Linked DNA regions of Drosophila melanogaster. The protein of the gene in region 2 interacts with the protein of the main gene of each other region in a pairwise test. Each region holds a gene or a part of one and is shown on either strand. Other genes may lie near its edges. The genes, in order: PAN2, PAN3 and CycK.

Region 1 (3,754 bases), on a different chromosome or scaffold from region 2:
TGCTCAGCACTTCGGGATCAATGGTCTTGGGCCTGTGGTAGCGGTAGCGCAGCAGTTCCTCCGGCCAATCTGAGAACCATTGTGTGCCCGTCGTCAAGTGCGGTAGCATGACCGACGATAGCGGAAAGTTGGTGTCCGTAATGGAGACCATCGGCAGCTGTGGCACCACGTCCGCAAACTCTGTGCTTCGCGAGTAGAGATTGAACTGCGGCTGAGGCGTTTGTACAGCGGCAATCATGTTGATGTGGCCCGACTGGTCCCCAAATGCCATGGCCTGTGAAGAGGAGCTAATGTCGAAGCTGAGGCACTGGCTGCCGTTGGTGTTGATCTGGTACATGGATACTCGCGGCTCGCTGAGCTCCACAGTGTCCACCAGCTGAACCTGGCCGTAGCTGGACACGACGGCCAGTTGGGATGTCAGCGATGGCAGGAACTTCAACATCTGCGGATCAATCATCACTTGAATGGGCGCGATCAGGCGCAGCATGCGCAGATCGTAGACCATTAGGAAGCGGTCGATGGCCAGGTTATTTTGCCTTCCGCTGTAGCCGCAAGAGATTAGCAGATTTCCCTGGACACTGAAGTCCGAAAGGATGTTGGTGTGCGTCTTGATTGTGTGCTGAACACTCAGGCTGTTCAGGTCGCGCAACGTTACCGTTCCCAGCTGGTCGCCGGCAAACAGATAACGTGAATTCTTGCGTAGCACCGTGCATCCGCCGGCACCCACATGCTCTATGCGGGTTTCCTTGAGCGTGCGCAGGTCGAAGTCGATAAGCTCGTCCTGCAGTCCGGCCATGACCAGACGATGCGGTGATAGCTGCAGCATGCTCACCATCTCCTTCATGTTGTTCGATCTGCAAGAAATTGAAACCTCACTTTCGGGGAATCTTTGTGCCAGCGCGGTGGCTTACTTGAAGGTAAACTTGGGCAGACCCCTGCGGATCTGATGACGCAGCGAGGTCTGCGTGAGCGCCAGCACTCCGGAGTCCAGGGTGGAGATGTCGCGCACAATGTCGGTGGCGTGGACCTGAAAGGATGTGTACTTCTGCATGGAGTTTGTGTAGTACGATGTGACGTGGCCCTGCGGGAAGGAGCGAAGATTCAGGATTAGTAAGCCTGGCAGGCTGGACGAGGAACTCACGCCCTGGTTGCCCATCCACAGCAGCTCTTCGTAGTCGTCGAACGCCACGCTGGAAACGCCGAAGTGCTCCCCGCCGTCGGCAAGCACGGGCACAAGCTCCACATATTCCGGATCGGTGGTGCCGATGTTGAATCCATTGAAGCTGGGCGAAAAGTGCCCGTTTCCCGGCGCAGATCCCGCGTCATAAACACCTTTTCAAAAAGTAAACAGAAAACAAAGGAGAAAGCTTTAGCTGGCTTGCGTGTGTGTGTGCGTGTGGGTGAGCGTTGGCCCCAAAGCGACCCCTTGACCCACTTAGTATGTCTTCGGAGGCCCCGATGGGGTCGGTGCCGCAATACACGTAATCCATCTGCCGCACGCCGATGCCCACGCGACTTTTTATTGTTTATTTTTTAACAAATTTCGCTCAAAACTGCCAGCCGTTTTTGCGTTGCACCGATTAGAGTGACCCTGGCAGGGCTGATGTAAAAATACTCTCGCTTCTCCGCCAACGAACTACCTGTCCAACGCTGCGCGACGCCACTGTGCGTGGCAAGAAGAAGCACTGCAATGCTGCGTAGAGCTGCCACGACTGTGGGATCCGCATGTAAAAATTACGGCCAGAATTGCTCAAAATTCGCGAGAAACAAAAGAACAATGGCCGATCTGCAGCAGATTGCAAGCAACAACGAGCGCGCCGAGGCGCTGATCAACTCCATTGAAGCCGAGGCAAGTATTTCCGCCTGCCAGCGCCTGCGAACACTCGATAACCTACTGCCCCCCAGATTTCCGGCATCCAGCAGCAACTTGTGGAGCGCCAGAAGCAGGAGCTGATCAAGGAGAACGCTGCACTGGCCAAGGAAGTTGAGGCGGCTTTGGCCCAGCTGGTGCAGCTGGAGCTGCGAAATGGCAAGAAACAGATTCCGGTGCCTGGAGCCCGGGGTTTCTGCACCAGTGCGGCCCCAGTAGTTATGCCGGCAGAGGCTGGACCTGCTACCGCTGCACCCGCTGCCCCGGCTCCTAAGCCGGCCAAGGAGCCCAAGGAAAAGAAGTCCAAGGAGAAGAAACCGGCCGCCGAGAAGCCCGCCGCCGCTCCGGAGGCTCCCGTCGACGTCGGTCGCCTGGATTTACGCGTGGGCAAGATTGTGGAGGTGGGTCGCCATCCCGACGCCGACAGCTTGTATCTGGAGAAGATCGACTGCGGCGAGGCGGCTCCACGCACCGTGGTGTCCGGTCTGGTGAAGTTCGTGCCCCTGGAAGAGATGCAGAACCGTCTGGTAGTGGTCATGTGTAACCTGAAGCCGGCCAAAATGCGCGGCGTCACCTCGGAGGCTATGGTCATGTGCGCATCTACACCGGAAAAAGTGGAAGTGCTCAGTCCGCCCGCCGGAGCTGTTCCCGGCGACCTGGTTCACTGCGAGGGCTATCCGCGCCAGCCAGACGCCCAGCTCAACCCCAAGAAGAAGATCTTTGAGTCGTGCGCCCCGGATCTGAAGACCAACGGCGAACTGGTTGCCTGCTACAAGGGCGCCGCTCTCCATGTTCCTGGCAAGGGCAACGTGGTGGCCCAAACCCTGAAGAACGTCAATGTGAAGTGAGCCAATAAACGAAACTAAAGCTTTGAGCCAATAAACGAAACATCACCGCCTGCACACCATTTCAGTATCAGAACTTCATTATCATTCAGTTTCTAGTACCAGTGAAGAGTAGCTCTACAGGAATATCGGAAGCTCTACTGATCATTGGGATTACTGGTTATGTTTGATTATCGTGCAGATTCTGAGGTATTCATGTGATATTTTATTTTATTTCACACGACAGCAGTACATAACGACATTAAATTTATCATTAACAAGTCTATTTATATGTGCATAGGAAGTGCATAGGAGTGCGCCATTCCTACACACTTTGGCTGGTTTAAGTGCCGTCCTCAGCGATTATTGCGCTGCGCTTGCCCTTGGGTGCGGAACACGGCAATGGAATTGCTCTCCACCACAATCGTTTTGGTTAGGACGTCGTAGGCGGTGCGATTGTTCTTGAAGAAGACCATCAACACGCAAATGGGGAAGAGCAGGGTCATCCCCAGGTTCTTGATCAGCGCGCGGGCGAAGGAGCGCATCAGCGAGGGAGTCTGTGGCGGATAAAGCAGAGCCCTCATCGGCTCCCTCTGCGGCTGGAGGACGAACTGTGGAAGGGGCGGCCCCTGAAGCGGCATCACTGCTTCCACATAGTATATGCGTATCTTCATCAGCGACTTGCCCGGCGTAGCCCCTTGGTATAGGTATGTCCACAGCGCTTCGTAGCAGCAAACGATGAACTTGGTCAGCATTTCGATTAGCAGGAGGTCGGTGGACATCGAAATAAAATCTAGTGATGTGTCAAAGAAGTTCGAAAAGAGGTCTTCTTGGTCCAGGGTGCGCCGAATCACGTCCTCATCGAACTCTATGTTGAACAGGTTGACCACCCCGAAGGTAATGATGATTTTCACAATGAAAAGGATGAACATATCGATGGTCTCCGCCACGGCGCGCTTCCAAAAAGGTGACAGAACGTACTCGTAGCCGCCAAGACGCTGTATGATATCCAGCTGGGCCGCCTCGCCCAATATCCGCAGGCCGCTGAAGTTTGGCGCAG
Region 2 (3,754 bases):
TAGTTAATTGCCTGTTTCATTGTTAGCTTTTGAATTGCTTTCAGTACCGTAATTACTTTAATGAGGATATTTCCTTGAAAGGAGCTGCTGTTGCTATATTGTATACATTTTCATTACCATTTTCCAACGATTTTGCAAATAAGAAAAACGCAACACACACACCGCGCGATTGGCGCTGCACGAATGAAGAAAACGCAAAGAAGATCCAACAGCCAAGCCAAATGGAGTCCACAAACGACCCCCGAGTGTTGTATACATGTACGTCCGTCTGTGTGTGTGTGTGCACAGGAGGTCGGATAAAAACAACAACTGCCAGCTGTGTGTGCAACAAAGTGGATGTGGATTCCATTCGAGGAGTGTTGGGAAAACATCCGCGCTCAAGGGGTTACATGGACTTTAGCTATTGTTAATAATTTTAATTAACATATATATCATTTTATGCAAAGAAATTTAACAGATTGTATAAAGTCCCTCATGTTTTTCAGCTGATAAATGCTGGATATGAAATACGTATTCTTTCAAAGAGAAATCCTTTGACACGCTACTGAAGTTCCATTATTGAATATAATGTAATAAAATAACTTTTAAAAATGGCGAAACCCCTTTATGGTATTGTAACACTTCACCTTCAAGTGGCCAGGACGTTTTGCAGAAACCCTAGCAATTGGCGTTGTTATACACACATGCATATATACACAAAATAAATACATATACATATGTAAGTTTTTGGCTGGGGGGAGTTCAACAGGACCCAACAGCTGGCCACAGGTTGCGTTCCACATAGAGAAATGTGGGAGCCTGGGCTCCAAACGCGATCCACACTCCAGCCATATTTGTGGAACGCGACAAACAGCTGGCTAGGAAAAGGGGAAGAGGACGCAAAGGGGAAGGGAACGAAAAGAAGGGGAAGAGAAAAAGCAGGAGCAAAGGAAATAAGAACACATATGTATACGATTTGTTTTTTGAGTGGGAACAGCTGGAAATAATTAACTAAGTTCACTAAGCAAGCCAAAAGCCAATTTATAAGTGTAGTTTTGTTACAACGTTTTTGGAAATATTTTTATTTTAATTTTCAAAAATTTTCATAATAATTGCACGTGAATTAAAAGTCAATTCATTAAGTTTTTATTTTCATTAAAGTTTTTAATTCACCACCGAAAATGAAATTGAAGCCATCTTGGTCACCAAATTTTTAAGACGCAATTTGTCCAAATGGTTCTTATAACGCAAGCCAGATAGCAAATACGTATAGTTTTTTGTTCAACACGCCAACGATTTGTTTTTGTTATTTTTCAAATTGATGCCGCTGTTGCACACACACACACAAACACAAAAAATGCCAAACACACAGCGCACAGCGAAGTGATACAAAAATGTCTGCTGAGAAAACTGCGATTTTTCGCTCTTTAATCCACGTTTTCCGTACCTCCACTGACCAGTCATAGTTCACTTTGCGAGAGGTGACTTCATAAAGAACCTGCCGTTTGTGTTTTGTCAAACTTTTGTACATTTTAAAGACAAAATCACAATATTTAATTTCTTACATGTTTTCCGTTTGCCGCAAGCAGTGTGACCGCATCTCGCGAGTGACGAGTTCCGTACTGCCGGATATAAGGGCAGCACATTAAACACGAATGGATTCGTTTTCAATAATATACTTGTAAAATTATATATATGAAGGCAGATTTTGCTATATTATTTTAATGCTATTTTATTTTGAAATGGTTAATTTAATAATATTTGTTATTTTATTACTTTGTAAAGGGGATGGTGTCCCTGCTAACGATCAACCAGGGCTGGAGAAACACAGACAATAGAAAAACATCGATAGGCTTTGCCAATAACATCGATACGTTATACTAGTATTTTGCCTAATATAAGATTTGGTCACACCGCACAACACTCTCTAGAAAGACAACAAATTTTTTGGCGAGCGGACGTGTCGGCGGACAAAAAGCTTGCAAACAGAACAGAACGGAAGAACACAGAAGAGAACGACACGACACGGACAGCGGGGAAAGGTGGCAATTGAAAGAAAGTGCCATACTTAGTGTGCGAGCGAAAGAGAGAGAGAGCAAACTGGGTATTGCTTGTGTGTGTGTAGTAGTTTAGTGGTCGTGTGTGTGGGAGTTTGTGTACGAAGCGAGTGGCAAAGAAAAACACAACAAACATTATTCCAAGAAAATTTCCAATCATGTCGGTGGAATCCTCCAGTTCGGCGGTCCAACAGCCGCCGTCGTCCTCGAACCTACCGCTCCTGGGCGACAACCAGGCGGTGGCCACGACCAGCTCCGCCTCCTCGGCCTCTTCCTCTTCCACATCGTCGTCCTCCTCGTCGGTGGGCGGCGGCAATGTGGTGGGCGTGCCGCTGGACACGCAGGGCAGCGGAGAACCGCCGGCCAAGAAACAGTTGTTGGACGGAGGGGGCGGTGGTGCCACCAGCAGCAGCGGCAGCAGCTTGCTTTCCAGTGCCGCAGCCGCCTCGGGAATGCACGAAAAGCTGGCCCACCGCATCTCCAATGCCCTGTGCTGTGCCGTCTGCCTGGATTTGCCCAAGACGGCCATGTACCAGGTGAGTTTTTGGATTATTTACAGCGGCTTGAACTATAAGCCCTTGTAAACTAGAATCAAAAAAAGGAAGTAAGAGCTTTAAAAGCGAAAGAAGAAAAACAGCAAGTGCGCGTGTGTGTGTGCGCCTCATTCTGTATACAAACAAATCGTGGCAGCTCAGCTGTAAGAGTAAAACACCTCTCTCCCTCTCTCCACCCTAGCAAGACACAGCTGTGCGAGAGCGAGACGTCTAGCTGGGGCGCTCTTGCATTATTCGCCTTGAAAACATTGAAAGAGTGCGAGGGGGAGCGAGGGCGGGAGTTAAGTCCGTGATCGAGGGTGGAGCCTTTTGTGAAGATATGATGTGTAAATGTATGAAGGTTTTTAAGTTTCAGCAGATAGTTGTAGTGTGAAGATTTCCAATAAAGAATACGACTGACTTTCTTGAAGTTCAAAATCAGTATGAAGTTTATTGTCAGAGAGTGGCTACTCGAGTCCTCCGTTTTCGTCTTATACATAAGTACATAGGTTCTTAATTGTAAGCATAATGAACATGCCGACTCGGCATGTGGCTGGCTAGCTGGGGACAATGTTGCAGTGCGACTTTTGTGTAATGTCAGCATTCGGCCGGAATGTCAGCATTCGGCCGGATGCGGTGTTCCAGTTGCCGTCTTCCCGGTTGAGTGTCCGATGATTTGTTTAGAGGCGTGGGGGTTTAGGGGGTGGGGTGGTAACTCCTCCCCCCCCAGTTCGAAGTGACGGCCATAGCGAAGGTATGGATGACGCGTAGATTGGTACGTGATGATCCTCGTGGATGTGGACGATGTGTTTCGTTCGTCGGTGCAGCCATAAGATGACTGCTAGGAACGTTACCAATCCGAGCAGAGTGTAGAGTGTCCAGGTGTGCTGTATAGTATTGTGATGGACGGCCAGGATTTTATCCATTGTTTGGGTGGCTTCGAGGTGCAGTTTTTCTAGGCTTAGTACCGTAATAGTGGTATTCCTAGTTACTTTTCGCATGGGGGGAAGATCAAAATCCGTCTGTTCAGGGAACGTGTCAACCGTGCCGTCGTAATCGATACCGTTAATCTGTATTGTTTCGTTAATGTATCTGATGATGGCTGACCCCATTATTGAGAGCTCGGAGCCGTTTGTTAGGGATACCTTCAGTTTGTTCACGTTGAATGCGAAGATGTAACCTCTC
Region 3 (3,754 bases), on a different chromosome or scaffold from region 2:
ACAATATTGGGCCTAGAGTGTAACCAAAAAAGAAAACCGAACCGTACGAAGATCCCCGCTCTAAATCCTATTCCGAACGGTTCGCTAGTTTTAATATACAAATTTTTTTTACTTGTTTATTAGTCATTGCATCTACTAGTAGCGCTGCTGCGATGGACGCCCACCGGCGTTGTAGTATCCACTGGCTCCTGGAGGCAAGCTAGGCGGCATTGGTGGTGGTGGTGCAGCGCTCCCGCTATAGTGTCCGACCACTGTCTGCTGGACTCCCCATCCGGAAGAGGGGTACGGCGGCATAGGCACTACCGGCGGGGGCGGCGGTGGAGGAGCATGATAAATGTGGTACCCGGATGGCTGACCTGGTGGTGTTGGGCCCTGTAACAGGTTCTGGGAGTCGCTAGGACCAATGATTGGCACGCCACTGGCTAGGGATTTAATGCTCTGAATGTTGCTAACTTCCAGCACGCCACCGTTGCCACATACGGGGGGCGGCGGCTGTTGTGGAACGGAAAGTGGTCCAATACCCGTAGAATTGGTAAGCTTGCCGGATTTTGGACTGTCGGCTCTGCTTGGTGGCTTTTGGGGCGGACTGGTTGGCTGGAGCGCTTCTTTTTGGGTTGATTGGTACAGGTCCAGAACTTGGTGGCAGATGTCTTCGAGTATTTCCATCGTTACATCAGACACAAACATATCCCACCAACGCTGCTGCTGTGGCTGGCGGCCCTCCCAGTCTTGCACAGTGAATTTGCTTAGCTTGCTGGCCAAATGGATAAGAGCCACGGCGATAATCTCCGGCTCCCACTGTAGACAAACTACTGTGCTGAGAGAGTCGTTGACGAAGTTCCACGCCATTTGCACCATCTTTTGCAGCTTCTGCTGGTCGCCTTTGAAACACTTAGCGTACTTTAGGAGAAAGGTGTAAGGATGCTCTACTTGCAAATCGAATTTGATGGTCTGCAGCAGAATACGCTCTAGCGTCATCACCTCCTCCTTAGGGTCGTCGCCAAACGAGTAGAAGTAATTGTCGGTAAGGATGCCACGCGCAGTTTTAATAATGTCGCGACACTTCTTTGGCGTCTCCTCCACCTTGCCAGCAAAGAACAGGCAGCAGCACGCAGTCACGTACCGGGGGAAACTCCGGAACGAATGAAACATGTAAAATCGGTGAAAATATACAACGCCGGTGGCCATCGTGTTGTGGCCCAAGCCCATTTTGGTGCCACATTCCATAATAAATCGAGCACCTTCTTTTCTGTACCGCCGCTCCGTTTCGAAGCTTATTCCATCCAAGATCGAGGGCGTCTCCCGCAGCTCCTTTTTGTCGTAATACCAGCACGGCATCGCGGCAATTTAGGCTGCGGGTACTACCAGTAGTCCGCGTCGTTGGAAGGAATTTGTGTTAAACCTTTAGCCAAATGGTTGTCAGCATATGCGCGTCCTGGAGCCGATAAGCGCTTTTGTTTATTGTAAATAAATCAGTTTTCGATTTTTATGTTCACTTGCAGTGTTACCATGTCTACGACGATGAAGAAAAAAACTTTATTGGAAGCCCCTTTTACACCAAGACCACGACGATTTTGAGTATATGGAACAACTTTATTGGTAAATAGATAACGCAAAAATTTTCGATCTCTTGCGGGTCAAACTGAATATTTTTTGTGCGTTTGCTAGTTTTGGTGACTTAATTTTGGGATATAATTAAACAGATATATTTACACGTGGTTTTGGCCGTCCTTTGACTGTTACGAGGAACAAATGGGATGTTTACACTGGAATCGCATTTCCATGTTTTGGAGATATCAAACCAAGCATAGGGATTAGTGATGGGAATTGCGCAATTTGTTTTGTTGTTAAATGGTATATTGAAATAATTCATTATGTATAATCCTACTGGATAACAAGTATTTCAATTTAAAGCATAGATAGCATTCGTTAAACATTATAAAATGTAATAACAAGATTATGAGCAGTGTAAGCGCTTTCTATTTAATAGTAATTACTTCTAGTAATGTGGTGATGAATTTATTATAACCGTTAGTCGTATTTTCGTATTCCGACCATTTAAGGTATATATATTCTTGATCAGGACCAATATCCTAGTCGATCTGACTATAATTTAATTAGTCTTTTTAATTTCTATCGATTTGTCAATAAAATTTTTGCCACGCGCACTCTAACGCCCTAATGCCACACTTTGGAACAATTTTGAAATTTTTTATCATTTTATATCCCATTATCTATCGATATTCCATAAAATTGATGCAATTTCGCGTTTGTATTCACACTAGCTGGTAACGGTTATTTGATAGCCTTGGAACTCGACTATAGTATTCTTTCTTTTATTATTAATATAAACGCGAGTGATGGCACTATAATTTTATTATGTTTCTATATTTTTTATGTTTCTATAATGTGTGTTAAATTCTTAAAAATCGATATATATCACTCAAATTACATAATAATGGAAAACCGAAACGTGAGCTTGATAGAGCGAAACAACCAAATCAGTCGAGATGCTTCTTTTTAACGTAGAAAATGTTATGTATATTTTTCTTTGAATCATGCACTTAGGCTAGTGAACATATTTTCAAACCTTACCGCTCAAGTGATCATTGACTTAAATAAAATTTTACAAAACTCAAAGAACATCCAGCAGCACGCAGACACGTATCAGGGGAAACTCAAGAATGAATGAAACACGTAAAATCGGTGAAAATATACAACGCCGGTGGGGATCGTATTGTTTTAATAATATTATATTTTTTAATGAAGTACAGATAATATGGAATTGACTTTGATTGAATTTAAAAATGTATATTAAAATTTATCAGTGATAACAAACATTTTATATTTCTTTCACCAAGTGATTCAGTATATGTATACAATTCTAGTATTTTAACTTCTATTTAACGAGCACTTAGGGAATGTGAATTTCCGTCATTCGACTGCGCCAATTGCATGCTAAGTATTTGGTTGCGGTTAACAACCAAGGCCGGAGTACCCCCAACGTTGAAAACTATCTACGTCTCACAAGACAAGCAATTACGATCTCGAACTTCAAAAAGGTAAACAAACCCAAATGTTGTGCAAATTCTAACGTTTGATCACCCCTGATCGCAGATTCCGTCTATGCGGATTGTGTTGTTATCCTGGGAAAGCTACAAATACCGCGTATAAATTTGCTATATTCGTAATTGGGTTCGAAGCTAAGCGATGCCCAGCCTACCAGTTCGGCGTACACGGAAGGATTCCCAATTGGAGAACGATGACGATCTTGGTCGTATTGCCCAAATTTATCCCACCTATGCTACACTCAGGTAGATATTTTTGGATCAGCCGCAAATTTCCTGGCTTGGCTATGTCAAATGACTTAATCGACATTTGATTTCACGGTTTTATTTATACGGACATACATACATGTATTTCATATTTTAAAATATACATATTTGCCTTATTTAAAAAATAATAATTAATGCTTACTGACTAGTACCTTCCGATTTTGTTTAAAATAAACACGTAATTATTATCTCCTAAAACTAGTGCAGGCTCACAATTACCACCTGCCTTTCAAAAATGACTTAAAGATAAAGAAATGTGAAAAATTCATTTACTCACTAATTTGAAACTTAAACTAATAATATACACACATTTGTAATATTTTAAGCATAAGAAAAGTTAGTATGCATTCAATTTTATTGTTTGTGCATTAATATGTAGTTATTTTTACGCTTTTAGGTATTTAAATATAGTCCGACAT

Evidence for each region.
Region 1: the proteins of PAN3 (region 2) and PAN2 interact in binary tests that used the Drosophila melanogaster proteins (3 or more experiments, as listed by UniProt).
Region 3: the proteins of PAN3 (region 2) and CycK interact in a two-hybrid assay, tested with the Drosophila melanogaster proteins (3 studies listed by BioGRID).

What each region holds. Positions count from the first base shown.
Region 1 is NT_033778.4:8,926,036-8,929,789, reverse strand, and holds the start of PAN2 (Poly(A)-binding protein-dependent poly(A) ribonuclease 2), read right to left. Parts: upstream 1,622-3,754; 5' UTR 1,491-1,621; coding exon 1,436-1,490; intron 1,333-1,435; coding exon 1,142-1,332; intron 1,082-1,141; coding exon 912-1,081; intron 855-911; coding exon 1-854. Other genes in the region: AIMP1 (aaRS-interacting multifunctional protein 1), read left to right, coding at 1,691-1,849, 1,906-2,718; CG8237 (uncharacterized protein), read right to left, coding at 3,051-3,754. UniProt on the Drosophila melanogaster protein: Catalytic subunit of the poly(A)-nuclease (PAN) deadenylation complex, one of two cytoplasmic mRNA deadenylases involved in general and miRNA-mediated mRNA turnover.
Region 2 is NT_037436.4:3,068,980-3,072,733, reverse strand, and holds the start of PAN3 (Poly(A) specific ribonuclease subunit PAN3), read right to left. Parts: upstream 1,602-3,754; 5' UTR 1,427-1,601; intron 188-1,426; exon of another isoform or gene 1-187. Other genes in the region: CG32486 (uncharacterized protein), read left to right, coding at 2,195-2,572. UniProt on the Drosophila melanogaster protein: Regulatory subunit of the poly(A)-nuclease (PAN) deadenylation complex, one of two cytoplasmic mRNA deadenylases involved in general and miRNA-mediated mRNA turnover.
Region 3 is NT_033779.5:22,128,386-22,132,139, forward strand, and holds the start of CycK (cyclin K), read right to left. Parts: upstream 1,758-3,754; 5' UTR 1,339-1,757; coding exon 136-1,338; 3' UTR 1-135.